2 linked regions of the Drosophila melanogaster genome follow. The protein of the gene in region 1 interacts with the protein of each later gene in a pairwise test. Each region holds a gene or a part of one and is shown in the gene's direction. Other genes may lie near its edges.

Region 1 (10,272 bases):
CAACGCGGACGAGCTGCTTGACAGCTTCCTTGAAGGATTCCAGGTAAGTTTTTCTCTGGATTTGCCAACATTATCAGGACTTTGAATTGCTATTTTCTCTTTCGCCAGGATGAAAATGCACAGGTGCAGTTGCAGCTGCTGACGGCCGTGGTTAAGTTGTTCCTCAAGCGCCCGTCGGACACCCAGGAGCTGGTGCAGCACGTACTATCATTGGCTACCCAGGATTCGGACAACCCCGATCTGCGTGACCGTGGCTTCATCTACTGGCGTCTCCTGTCCACGGACCCGGCCGCCGCCAAGGAGGTGGTGCTGGCCGATAAGCCACTCATCTCAGAGGAGACCGACCTTTTGGAGCCGACATTGCTGGACGAGCTCATCTGCCACATTAGCTCGCTGGCCAGCGTTTATCATAAGCCTCCCACCGCGTTCGTGGAGGGTCGCGGAGCCGGTGTGCGCAAGTCGCTGCCCAACCGAGCCGCTGGATCTGCAGCTGGTGCAGAGCAAGCAGAAAACGCAGCCGGCTCAGAGGCAATGGTCATTCCCAACCAGGAGTCGCTCATTGGAGATCTGCTCTCCATGGATATCAACGCACCCGCCATGCCATCTGCTCCGGCCGCCACCAGCAATGTGGACCTTCTGGGCGGCGGTCTTGATATACTCCTCGGTGGACCGCCAGCAGAGGCGGCTCCCGGCGGTGCCACCAGCCTGCTAGGCGACATTTTTGGACTGGGCGGAGCAACGCTATCGGTGGGTGTTCAGATTCCCAAGGTCACATGGCTGCCAGCGGAGAAGGGCAAGGGACTCGAAATACAAGGAACGTTCTCACGCCGCAACGGCGAGGTGTTCATGGACATGACTCTGACCAACAAAGCCATGCAGCCGATGACTAACTTCGCCATCCAACTGAACAAGAACAGCTTCGGCCTGGTGCCCGCGTCGCCCATGCAGGCTGCTCCCCTTCCACCCAACCAATCGATCGAGGTCAGCATGGCCTTGGGCACCAACGGACCCATTCAGCGCATGGAGCCGCTCAACAACTTGCAGGTGGCCGTGAAGAACAACATCGACATCTTCTACTTCGCGTGCCTGGTGCACGGCAACGTGCTGTTCGCCGAGGATGGGCAGTTGGACAAGCGCGTGTTCCTCAACACCTGGAAGGAGATCCCCGCCGCCAACGAACTGCAGTACACCCTGAGCGGTGTAATTGGCACTACCGACGGCATCGCCTCCAAGATGACCACCAACAACATCTTCACCATCGCCAAGCGTAACGTCGAGGGCCAGGACATGCTCTACCAGTCACTCAAGCTGACCAACAACATTTGGGTGCTGCTGGAGCTAAAGCTGCAGCCGGGCAATCCGGAAGCCACTCTCAGCCTCAAATCGCGCTCCGTGGAGGTGGCCAACATAATCTTCGCCGCCTACGAGGCCATCATCCGTTCTCCATAAGCGTTCCATGGCGCACATCCGATGGCATAGGATAAGCACAAAGCAATTGGAGCTATCGATTTGCGTGTGTTGAAGATTAGCTCAACAATAAGTTGTAAATTTACGTATTATTATTATATTGTGTATTGGCCGAATCGCCACCTACATATATTATTTATGCATATGCACACATATAAAATCCAATCGGGTTCGTCGAGAGATCTGTTAATTGTTAATCGGAGCTGCTTGTCACTCAGTGTACTAACGTGTAATAGCAACGTTGCATAACCGCATTCCAAAACTCTGTAACCCCATATGTCCTATGGTCGGCATCTATGTATATGTTTGTGTCCTAGTAAAATGCGAAACACTAAATAATTGTGACATTGTTTTCCTCGACGGCAGTTGCACTAAGCACAGTTTCTATTCGCTTTCAATGGTCATTTCTACAAGGTTCCAAATACGCATGATTATGATTTATGATTTTAGTATTATAATTAAAACTGTGTATTATAATATTTGTCCGTTCGTAAGCCTGAAAGATTTTTATACTTTCAGCTCAAAGTCAAAGTGCATCAAAGTAAGTTTTCTAAGTCGAAGATCTGAGAAAATAATTGCATCAGTTAGGTTAAAAGTCAATATATTGATCAATATTTAGGATCATTAAAATCCAAAACTAGGCTTGAAACTCAAAAGTTAGATTTGAAATATCATATTTACTTGAAAATTCGTTAAGGAGAAAGAGGTTTTCCTGCTGCAAATATAGAATCCATCAGATAGGAGTTGCAAAGCGCTTTTCCCGCGCAGATCAACTTTGCGTCAAACTATGGCCACGCCCACATTGGCCCACGTATGTAAGTGGAGCATTCTGTAGCGATTTGTACAGACACCCAAAGCTATCGAAGCTACCGAGGAGTCAAACCATATCCCAAAGCTTTGCTTCCATGTTTACAGGGATAACCATGTTGTATGCAAAGGATATACATATATATATATATATAATGGATTCCCAACTGATCATGCTGGTCAGTGGAAAGATTGCAGCAATTGGTACTAACTGAGGCACCCACTTAGCAATGGTTGTAATGGGCTCATCAAGACAGCAGTGGACCAGTTAAGGGTATAAGCGGAATGTGGTATACCTGGTCAGGGATGCGAAGGATGGGTGGTGGCGTCGAGCTTCGGCGCCTGAGCTTTCGAAGCTTTCGCGCGAACCCTTCGGGGGTTGTTTGGATGCCTGTGCGACCAACGAGAGCGCAAGAGAGGACAGGCTTGCCCATCGAGGACGTGGACGTGTAGCCATCCCTGTCGTGGCCACAGGACACACTGACTGTTTGCCTGCTCCACTGTTTTCCTGTTGTACCACAAGCTATTCTGGCTTGGCCCCGATTGTAACGAATCCGTATCGCACGTCGCAGTGCGAAAATGTGTGCAAATACTGCAATGTACCCGCAGTAAATTGGCCGCAGGATCGCTTGACACTCGCTGCAAAAGGACATCCAGGTGCTACGCCCTATTTCGCAGTCAATCCAGCCAGGTGGTAGTATAGGTGTACAGGCATAGGTGTAACCAACCATGCCCCTGCGAACGGTGCAGGAATGCGGAGTCCTTTTGTGCCAGTGAAGAGCAACCAACACGAAACAACGCCACGAAGAGGACAATCCGCCAGTGCTGTGTAGAAGAACAAGAACCAGAACAACAAGGACAAGACCAAGAGCATCGAGTACACCAGATCGCAGATTCCGTTGAGAAGGGTCCGCCAAAAATTAGTCCGCCGGAATGAGGGTGGCGGCGGACATGGTGTATGACTACGGCAGCGAGGACTCCATGAGCACCACCCACCTGGACTGGCCCTTTCTCATCAAGGTTCGTATCAGCAGCCCCTCGCAACCGCCCTTGTCCATCAACCCCTCTTCCCAAACCCTCGACATATTTGCACGCTTTTTAGGTTAAGTCGAGACTACAATATGCAAAGTGTCGAGTATAATGTGTATAAGTGGGGTTTGTGTGTCAACAGCTTTGTCACTGCGAGGACGCGAATGTATGTAGAGCTTCATGTGCATCCCTGTCAGGCTCCCGAAGGCTTATTCCACCTTGTAATCGGATCTGGGGAGGGTAAAACTCCGCCAGCTGTAAACAATCCGTAGTCCCTTTAAATACAATATGTGTACATCCTTAGATCATATTTCGTATTATTTTATAGGTTGCTCATTGCTTATGTTTCTATGTTTATACTTTCTAAACTATGCTTGATATAGAACTACTATGAACTACTACTACTACTTCAACTATAATCCTTAATTGATATTCTAATGTAAATTTAGTCAAATAGGGTTTTTTTAGGAGAGAGTTCTTTTCGTCAAGTTCTTTAAGGATTATAACGATTCCTTTTCCCCTTTTAATTAATTCTATAGCGATTTCATTGGATAATATTCAATATGAAATATTACAGAACTTATAGGCTTTAAGTTAATCAGTCCCGCTGATTCCAACCGATTTAATACTAGTTATAGGAGATATATCCCGTGTTTTTATGTGAGCCAAGTGGTTATGCCTGCCACCGTGCAATGCGTTGGCTAAGTGGCTGCAAAATGGCCAATTTGAAGCCACCTGAAGTAGGTTGAAGTGAGTTACTGCTCACTGCTCTGGCCAGTGACCAGAAGTGAGCAGGGTGGTGTGCTGGGCGAGTAGTGGCGTCAGCGCACGGCCCTTGCTTGATAAGTGTGTCGTGTCCTTGGTCGCATTACGGTGACACGCCCCCGATAACCAGTGACCTCCTCCCGCAGGGCATCCTGGAGGGGCAGACGTGCACGCCCACTGCGCCGGAGCCGCTGGCCGCCATCCTGTGGGCCATCTTCGCCGTGTTTGGCATCGTGTACGCGCTACTCGGCTACCGATGCCTGCGCGCCGTGGGCTTTCTCAGTGGACTGCTGGTGGGCGCCAACGGGATCTTCATTCTGCAGGACTTCCAGATCACCTTCCTGGGCAAGCCGGCGGACTCGGCGCTGGCCATTGTGGCGGGTTTGCTGGGCGCGGTGCTCGGCTCCACATATCCGGTGGCCTCTGTCCTCATTAGCGCCTTTGCCGGCGCCCTGCTCTCCGGCGCAGCCATGGCCGTCTGCGTGGCCACCTTTCCGGACAACGAGTTTGGGGTAAGTTCCTCCCCTCTTTGTTTTGCTTGCACCAGATGCTTATATCGATTCCCCTACCGCAGTACCGCGAGATCTATGTGGCCGTGGTGGGTGGAGCCGTCATCTGCTCCGTGCTGACCTTGTGCTGCGTGAAGTACGTGACCATTCTCACCTCCAGCATTGTGGGCACGGCCATGATCCTCAGCGCCATCGACTTCTTCACGCACGGTCTGGAGACCATCAATTGGGTGAGTCATGTCTGCTCCACATGTCCACCATTGGCTGGTTCGATGTGAAGCTGTCTGTTTAGTTGATACGGAGGGTGGAGAAAGCATTGATGGAATTATATAACTCTCTGCAGATAATCGGCATGCGGCCGCATCCCTCGCCGCCACCTTGCTACGGTGGCCTCCTGATCGCCGCCTGGCCCGTCACCATTGTGCTCAGCATCATGGTGCAGTGCTTCATTACCGCCTGGCGCGTGGATCACCGCAAGCGGGTGTACATGCGGCATCACAACCATCCTGGCCACGCGCACGGCGCCCATCTGCCGCACAGCCAGCAGCAGGCGGGACCCAACCACGGCATCGCTCCCGTCCGGCGATCCCAATCCCGCACCCGGGAGACGCGCGAGGAGGCCAGGCAGCGCAAGTTCCGCTATCTGTACCAGGTGCGCACGGCCCGTGGTGACATCATATCGCAGGTGAGTGGTTTGCTCTCATATGGACCCGGAAATGCGAGTAAAGGTGTCCAAAAGTATGCAACAGTATATGATGTATGCATACCTAGGCACCTTAGCGCGTGACTACTGCGTCGTAGCAGACCAAGCTGATCCTGTGGGCATCTCTTGTTTGCAGAACTTCGTGTCGGCTCTGCAGAAGCGCATCCAGCTGAGCGGCACGGAGACGCCGTCGGAGAGATCGATAAAGAGCAGCTCAAACGAACGAAACACGTTCCGGAGCGACCGCACGCACTTCACCACCATCCACGATCCGGACTCGGAGCTGTGCGACAAGATCGAGATCGTCCGTGACATTGGATAACAAACAAGCAATAGCTACATGTAACTATACCCGTAGGGGGGCTACGGGCTGCGGTACTTGGGCGCGGATGTGGTCATGGTCGGGGGACACAACTGTATGGTTGGATAGTTAAACGGGATTGGGGGCTCTAGGGAGCCGCCACGTAGAGCGGCGGAGGACTCACACAAGTACGGTTGCATGTAGACTTTTTAAGACGAGGCACCAAGTGCCGGACACAACACAAACGGAAGCGGAAATGGTGGCACAGAACCGAGTGGATGGTCATTGGAAGCTTTAAATATCAGAGGATATACGACGGATCTTTAGCTGGTTTCGCATGGAAGCCTTGGAGCTGGCGCCAGCCACAGATCAGGGGGACGAGATAGTCTAGACTAAGATTAATCGCATCGTGCACAGCTAGAGTCTAAGATGATGGACAGCACGGAAGGAAGCTGGCAGGAAGCTTTTGTTCTCTTCACTTAATCGAATGTTACTACAGATAGGAATACCTACACTACATATGTATGTAGCGATGGGCTGCGTGATGCATGATTGTGGTGGTGGATCATGGGTGCCTGAGATTCCTGTAACTACACTATACCCAACGCAGTACTCGTAGCTTCTCCCTTTTTCGTATATAGCCAGGCAATTGCAATTACTAATCCGGTTCATATCTGTGTTATAACTCTACGATTATAATGGGATGCATCCCAGCTGCAGGAGTTCCATTTCAACTATCTAGCATGATATTTATATATATAAGCATTACGTTGTAAACTCCAAACACTCGATCATCGCACAGCAGTTTCTCGGAGGCTCAAGGCAGGCGAAAATACAATACAATACCTATTAAGTACAATAAGAGAGGGTGGGGAGGGGGAGGGGGAAGTTGGAGCCATAGCCATCTAGACTAGTAGTAGACTAGAACTAGGATTAGCCAGTTACCCGGATGAGCCAAAGCCACTAAGCCACTTAATTGTCGATACCAGTAAATCACAATCCGCTGCAAGGGGCGCACTTGGGGCTCGACCAAGTCAGAATCCAACGATCCGCTCGATCAGCCGTCTTAGCGTTATCCGTAAGATTAGCGTTCGAAATATATATATATATATATATATATATATACTTTAAGACATTAGATCCATGCAAACAGCGGTACAAACTTCAGAAATTCACGCTATATATGCTAGCCGAGACATACCAATTTAAGTGATATAAAGCATTTTAAACGGTCTGATTATGGGGCTTAATCGGGTTACTAGAGCGAAATGAGTCCGTGCATCTGGTTTTCAGAAGTCTTGTGGTCGTCTTCCATCCGCTTTTGTTTCCAAGCAACATTACATTTCATTTCAAAGTACGGACGTATTTCTCAATCCACAGTACGGATTAAGCCCTTTTAGCTGGACACACCTACAACCAATAAATAGATAAAGTGATGCGTTTAGGGGAAGAACTAGAACTGGAAGGGTTCTTTCTCCAAGCCGCAAAGAAGGATTGGACATTGCCGGGCAGGAACTTCCATGTCGAATCGGTTGGTTTCCAAGTCGCAAACACCTATACTAAATACAACTCGAGTTTCCTGTTAAGTTGATTAGCAATTAGTTTCTAGGAATGGCTGCCGTCCGCAATTGTTGATTTATTACTATCGAAGACTATAGACTTTATATTTCCGAATTTTGTTCTCAAACTCAAGTGCTTATACTTTGATTCCTATTAGTTGTTCACTCTATCCTCCTGTCGTTCTAATGTTCAACAGCAATGTCTAATGCAGCACGATAATGCATTTAACTTCGGCAAACAGTAGACGTTTTGTACGACACACTCAATTCGGTTTAATAAAATATATATATAAAAAAAAAGGATAATAACTGCAAACTAAAGTAGTGAAAATCATAAAAAGAGTTGCACACATGTATACACCACTAATGAAATCCAATTAAAAACTAATATAACAAAAAGGCCAAAAGCGATTATAACCAGAAAGAATCCGATTTCCGAATGAAATCAAGTCTTGAGACGACGGGCTGCCAAAGATTAAACAACTTGTAATGAGCAAACAGAAAAGTAATATTAAATAAACGATGCAGGCCACATGTGCGTTTTTCTTCTTTAAGTTACAGAACCTCTCATCCACTCACAACAAGTGGATCAAATGACGAAACACCGGACTCTTTGTGTCTAATTGTTTATTAATAATAACACATCGGAATACAGTGGCGTGGCGTCGATCTGATTCGGATGCCAGTTCGGCCAGCAACGGCAGGACCAAGAATCAAGGATCAAGGATCAAGGATCAAGAAGAAACAAACACAAACGATCGGTTCAGAATTCAAGTAATTGAACATTTGTGTATTTTTTTTTTTGTATTTGCCGATGATGGTCTGCATTCACCGCTGGGGAAAGCACAAACACAAACTAGTCTCTGTTGCAATTGCCGGATTCTGGTTACCACGCTCCTCTACCTCCGTCCGTCCATCGATCGTGTCCTGTGTGTTTGGGTGCTGGATTGCTGGGTTTACTGTGTTGCTGCGTCTCTGGCGCAGCTTAGATGCGGCCGGGGAATGTGCCGCTCTCGCGCTGGTCGTCCCACTTCTCCACCCAGGCGTTGGGGCACATCGACTTGTAGACCTTCTGGAAGTAGTTGCAGGGCGCGAAGTCCTCGCCGCGCTTCTTCTGGCAGCGGTGGAAGTCGATGTACGACTGGTAGCAGTAGCGGGTCACGTTCTGGTTAGGGAACCGTGGGTCGAACGGGGCGGTCTCCAGCTTGTAGGCGGACATGTTGCTGCTGTCTGACGATTTGTCGCTGCTTTTGTTTTTGGACATGAAAAATTGCATATAGACTTTAGTTGGCAAAGGAAAATAAAAACATAACGAAACGAAACGGTAAGGCAACCAAATAGTAAACCAAAACGAAGACCGGGACAGATGGATCGTTGTCCAAATGAAAAAGAAAGAGATGAACACAATGGGGTGGGATGGGATGTGAGGCGGTACACAACCGAATCGAAATCAAACGTAAATACAATTTCAGTGCATAAACGGGAAGGAAGAGATAGATATATAAATCACAATGGTTAGTTCTTCAGTTTGCGTTTGCTTAATGAGCGGTATATATCATATTATATTATATTATATCGATTCGTGTGAAAAAAATACAAATTACACTGCTCGCGCTTGCAGCTCATAAGCCCACCCACTCTCGACTAAAACTATAAGCTACGCATCTCTGCTCGCTTGTTTTCGTGTACAAAACATTTCAAAGGGGCCGGGAAGGGATCGCTATGTGATGGTGTCTCGGGAACAGGGGTATGGTCGAATCAAAATCGAATCTGCAGTACTGCGTCTGGGCAGTATACGTTTCTCGCTCTTTTTGCGTTCAAGTTCATGTTTCTATGGAAAGCGCGACTATTTCGGCGACTACTTGACCAGCGGCCGCTTGCCGTTGTCCGTATCGCAGGCGTTGCTCTTGTACTTGTTGACCTCGGCCAGGTACAACGACCAGAAGTCCTTCGGGTCCACGTCGCTCTCATTGGGCGTCTTCACTTTGGCCACTACGCCAGTTTTGAGAACTTTTCCGCCGCGACGTCGTCCCACGATGGGTGGCGGCGGCGCCAGCTTTCCGGCCGCCGCGGCAGCAATGTACGGCGCCGCAGCACTGCTGGCAGCTCCCAATGCAATGGCCGGCAGTGCAGGCCCTGTGGAGGCCGCCTCCGGCGGAACCAACTGCTGCTGCAGGACCTCTTTGACCGATGGCTGCATCAACTGGCTGGTCGCTTGCTGCTTTTGGCCCTCCTGCATCTTCTTAAACAGCTCCATGAACGAGCCGTCGTTGGCGAAGACAGGATGCGATGGTGGCTCAGGCTTTGGCGGCGGATACACTTTGCCCTCCCTGGCCAGTGCTTCGCGCAGCTTCTGCTCCATTTCGCGGTGGATGCGCTCCTTGTCAAAGGGCTCGTCGGTGTCCAGGTTGTAGTAGGCGCCCACCGCGGACGCGGCACTGCTCTTGCCAGCCAACTGGACTTGATTTGTGGCGGCGGCAGCTGCAGCGGCTGCCTTCTGTACGGCGCTTAGCTCCGATTTACTGGATGATGATGCATGGTGGCCTCTTCGTTGACTGTTGTTGGATCCATGGCCAATGTCAGAAGAGGACGGCGATTCCGAGCGTCGATAGTGGCTGGAGCGCCTTGAGTGGTCCCTATCGCGATCACGTTCGCGATCCCTAGAGCGATCTCGGGAGCGATCTCGGGAGCGATCTCTGGAGTCGCGGTCTCTGTGGTAACGGGATGACTGCCGTTTCTGGTGGCGGCGACGCTGGCCAAAGCGTTCGGCGGAGCGGCTGCGACTGCGGGAACGCGAACGGCTGCGACTGTAGCGACTGTGCTCTCGTCTGGAGGATCCGGAACCAGAGCCACGCTCGTAGTAGCCGCGCTGATGGCCGCGTGCGGCGCGCCGCTGGTGGCCGTCCTCCTGATCCCGCTGATAGTAGGGCAGGCGGGCCGCCGACATGTCGGGTGTGGATGTAGTGATGATCTGCAAATCGAAACTGTGCCGCGTTAAATCGAGCAGTTGACAGAGGCGCGTTTACGAAATACCTATACACAAGATCTGTATACTTTGTAATCAGTTAGCGTTTTGTTCTTTTTTTGGATCTGCGTCTCGGTTCGGTTCGGTACGGTTCGATTCTATTCTTT
Region 2 (4,711 bases), on another chromosome or scaffold:
CGGATGGTTTCTACTACTCTCACTGCACATATGAAGTAATCTTTTCTGGTCCATAATTTCCTCACCTAGTGTGCCAGTAGATAGATTTTATATTCGTATTAGGATAAATACCCAGAATATGAGGAAAGCGAATCAATTGAATACCGATACCGATAAGGCAGTTCTGAGTTTAATGAAACTGTCATCGATATACATATACGGAAGCTTTCAGTATTATATCAGTGCTCGTTCGCAGCTGTAAGCAACTGGTTGATATTTTTAGTGTGATTTGAAGAGTATAGAAAAGCATGCGTTGCTACAAGCGCGTAGACTCCCCGCCGCCCTACTCGGATCCATTCGCCACCGCTCCTCCAGCGGAGGACGTCATGCAGCAGAACCTGGCGTCGCCCGCACATCCCAATCCGGTGATACCCGTGATGGCCCAAACCATGCCGGTGTTGCAGCCCGTAAGCGTGATGCATCACCAGACGACAGTGCTGGTGGACAATACCCGCCAGGGAACGATCTGTCCCCACTGCAACGCTCGGATTCGCCTTCGCGTGGAGCACCATCCTACCGGATCAACTTACTGTATGGCGGCGTTGCTCTGCCTATTCCTGTAAGTAGATCGCATTTATGGTTGCAAGTATAGCAACAAAGGTTTGTACATACATAATGTGTATGTAAGCAAACGGAAAAAGAAATGTTTTTACTAGTCTGCTATATCTGTGGCCGCAATTGTTTTGCTTCTTCCTGGACAAGCTATGAGAAATTGCTGATCGTGCCTTATAAGCTATATACTCTATTTCCCATCTCTATCCACCAGATGCTGGCCCTGCGTCTGCGCCCCTTGCTGCTGCAACTGTTGCTACAAGACCTCCCAGTACTGTCCCAACTGCAACTCCTGCTTGGGTTCGTTTTGAAGACGCAGCGAAAACACTCGCCGATTTCATATCATTTCATTTTATATATATGTATATATATATACATAACCAACTATACATACATATATGTATGTATGTTCATATCTCCTTATGTATCGACGGCGTCAATGTGGTGTCTTCATCACTTAACATACATAAAAATATGTTTGCTTAGTGAGCAAAATAAGCTGACAGCGAAAAAATAAACAAATAGATTTTGAAGCGAATGGAATTTTCTTTAATTTCTGTTTCTGGGTATCTGGCTACATTGTTGCTGCAGACAACTAGATTTGCAGAAAAAATAATGTGAAACTTAATTGTTCATACGTTTTTTTTTTTTGTTTTTGTGTACTTTTTGGCGGTCTTTTCCCGAAACTTTTTCGTAGCACAACTCTTTTGTGTCCAGCAATAAATGTTGATATGAAACTGTTTTGAACCGGTAAAATGTTGCTGGGACGAACCGGCATGTTGGCACAGTTTAAATTGATGCTAAGATGCTTCAAGATTACTGTTCATGCTATTAAATGAAATCACTGAAGTTCTTTGCATTATAATTGAATATTTAGTAAAATATTTGAATTTCTGCTAAATGTTTAGTTCTTAAGAAATGGAATAAAAGGATTTTAATTTAACTCAGCCTAGGGATACGCTGTAATCAATTTTAAGGATGTATATAAATATCACTTCCCAGTTAGGCAACATAATGTTGCTAACGGAAATACTTTTGGAAGTGTAGTGTCCCGCTTCGCGCCCTAAACTTCTGACCGCACAACACTTTCGCAGCCCAAACAGTGCGCATTAACTTTTTGTCTCTCTGTGAAATCGGAATTCTACTTTATTTATTTTGACAACGTACCCACCCATACAGATTGTAAGTATGACGGGAGAGATATATTATGCAAGCCTAGGATTGGGTCAAACATGAGCAACGGACTATTATAGTCAGGTCTAATTGGGTAATATCTGGTTGTTTAGATGTTTACCGCTGCTTTGCCGCTCCCCAAAAAATTTACTTTTGCTTGGGGGAGAACTCAGCAAAGACATACAGGACGACAGTAGGATTTCGGGGGGAATGTTAATCACTGGCGACGGACACACCCGCTGTTAAATAAGGATACTGTGCTGGGTGGTTTGCGCTAGTGAGAACATACATAAATAGATTGTGTTGATTTTGGATAGGACCAGACCGAGCAAGCAAGTTGCACCAAACGACGAGCAAAGATGATGGATGGAATCGGGGTTGAGCGGGGCTCAGACACACGCGGTTGTGCGATGACGGCGTCGGCACGAAGCTTGCCACATGGCACAAGAGATTCCGTGGCCCACGAGGATGACCTCACGGCGGCAGGAGGGATTGCGCAGCACCGTGGTGCCATCGACGGGAGATAAGGCGGATTACAGCTTGTTTTGCATGGCGGGTGTGCAATTAAAATCCCCATTAACCAGCCAATTTAATGCTCATGCACCAGCGGCACGCGACGTATTCAAGTTTTCAAGGTCTGCGCTGCAATCAATATGAGAGTTATTAGAGTTTCCTGTGCTTTCTTTCTGCAGCTCCGCCATCGAAATGTCCACTTCCGTTGGCCCGGAACCGTGCATCGTGGTCTGCCCCAGTTGCCGTCAACAGGTTACCACTCGTGTGGAGCCGAAAGCCACCACCAAGACTCACCTGATAGCATTGATTATGTGCCTTACCTTGTAAGCCATGTTCGATATTGATTTCTTAACATTCTGGGTGCATTCTCATTGAGTGATCTCTTTCGTGCAGCCTTTGGCCCTGCTTGCTGCCTGTACTGCACTCAATGCGCCCGGAACTCCGACCACCACTGTCCATCTTGCAACGCCTACATTGGCACCTACGAGCGCTGAGCAACTTCCGCCGGAAGTTGTTTTTTTTTTTTTGTCGTGGACTGCAGCCAGCAGCCGTGCCGAAATGCAGCCCCCATTACTTATCCCCACTTGATCTATTTTTAACTCTCTCACATTTATTACTACGCACTATTTTGATAACAAAACAAATCATTGTAGTGCCGGCATATGTATTCTTCAGCACACCAATAAAAGGGTTCAAGGAAGAAACGAGTGGATTTTACCTGGGGGTTGATTTGTTTTAGAGACAACGCAATTCTTGAGCAGAGTTGAGTATTTCTTATGTTTTCAATAAATATGCAAATTGTTGTTATATACGTGCTAATAGCATAGCTGGAAGGACCATTTCGGAAGGGTAAAAGCTACTGGTTTGTTTACCTGACAATGGAATACCCTACTAAGTGCTAACATTTCTGTTTTATTGGTAAGTTTTGATATTAATTAATTCATCATGGCTGAGCAATTTCTTACTAAAGCTTTTCATCCTGCAAAAAAAAAAGAACACTTACTCATGTAAAAGCCCTTATTCTGATAGCCACATAATATTTAACGGAAATCGCTTAGCAAGCCATCCGACATAGTAGGGCTATATAGAATTCGCATCGCGCCGCAACTCGAAAGTTCGCCGAGCAATGTTGGAGGAGCTCTCTGCGGTTTCAGTCGCTGTCGGCAATTCAAACGCGTAGCACACATCGGTCGGAATAATTAGAATGGAGAAGAACTTTCAATACGAGAATATGCAGCCTCAGGCTCCGGGTTTCCAGGCACCGCCCAGTTATGATAGCGCACCGCAGCAGGTCTATCCTCAGCTCCATCAGGGACAGGGAGTGATATTGCAGGGTGAGAATACAGAGAACTATGAATCAATCGGAAATAATGGTCAATTCTTCTGTGCAATTCAAACATAAAATATAATATCGCATATTATACGAAATCCAATCGTGCCTCTTTCAGCTCCACCCAATGTCCTGGGCCAATGTCCATCCGTTGCCACTTGTCCGAGCTGCGGCGTCCGCAGGGAGACGAAGGTGGAGTTCGAGCCCAGCACCAAGACCCACCTGTTGGCCCTACTCATCTGCATGCTGGGGTAAGTGCAGCCCGTTTGCTCCACCTGCCCGCAGGACTAATGGCCATTTTCAGGGGCATTTGCTGCTGCTGCATTCCGTACTGCACCGACTCCTGCCAGTCGGCCAAACACACCTGCACCAGCTGTGGAGCCTACGTGGGCACCTACAAGAACTAGAAGTGCTATCTCAACACCAAATATTACAGGGATAGATCCCACTTTGTATCTCCACACCTATTGATGGGATCAGATTTGGCACGAATATTCACGAAATACAACTCTGGTTCAAATCAATTGAATATATGTATGTAATTTTCGCATTGGTTTACTTTTCAAAATAAATTTCTAATCACACAAATTGTTGGCGATATATGAATGTTAACACTTTCGTATATAATATTAATAAATCCCGGAAATTTCTGAGGCGGGAATATATTATAGATATTTTTATCTGAGGTTCTGCATCCTACGCCCTTTATATAACTTCATTCACATTGTTGATCTAACAATCGCTGCCTCTTCTTGAAACTGGATATATATATATATATATATGTATATTGAACAACTTATGTCAATGAACAGTGGAAAAAGGTTTGTAATTTAATACCTAGATTTTATATTTCCCCTCTTCGAATTAAACACTAAACAAAGGAATAGGGAAGAAACAAGGTAATTTGATCGCTTATCCGTTTATTTGATTACAACTTTTTCTGCAATAATACCAATAAAAAAGATGGGCAACAATATTTAGTTAATTTCATATAATTTAAAAAATGTTGGCAACTAGTATCCAGATTAATACCTGAAATGATGCAAATTCGATGTCCAATTTTATTAACATGTTTATATAAGTAAGTTATTATTCAAGCAAGCG

The links. The genes of interacting proteins can lie anywhere in the genome.
Region 2: the proteins of CG14234 (region 1) and CG4250 interact in a two-hybrid assay, tested with the Drosophila melanogaster proteins (one large-scale study listed by BioGRID).

Annotation. Positions count from the first base shown.
Region 1 is NC_004354.4:19,732,782-19,743,053, forward strand, and holds CG14234 (uncharacterized protein), read left to right. Parts: upstream 1-2,788; 5' UTR 2,789-3,207; coding exon 3,208-3,294; intron 3,295-4,214; coding exon 4,215-4,580; intron 4,581-4,642; coding exon 4,643-4,807; intron 4,808-4,920; coding exon 4,921-5,262; intron 5,263-5,416; coding exon 5,417-5,602; coding exon of another isoform or gene 5,603-5,638; 3' UTR 5,639-7,675; downstream 7,676-10,272. Other genes in the region: AP-1-2beta (adaptor protein complex 1/2, beta subunit), read left to right, coding at 1-43, 109-1,449; COX6B (cytochrome c oxidase subunit 6B), read right to left, coding at 8,126-8,416; CG18809 (uncharacterized protein), read right to left, coding at 8,999-10,087.
Region 2 is NT_033778.4:22,660,264-22,664,974, forward strand, and holds CG4250 (uncharacterized protein), read left to right. Parts: upstream 1-3,428; 5' UTR 3,429-3,481; coding exon 3,482-3,650; intron 3,651-3,725; coding exon 3,726-3,858; intron 3,859-3,911; coding exon 3,912-4,014; 3' UTR 4,015-4,211; downstream 4,212-4,711. Other genes in the region: CG42565 (uncharacterized protein), read left to right, coding at 288-598, 806-902.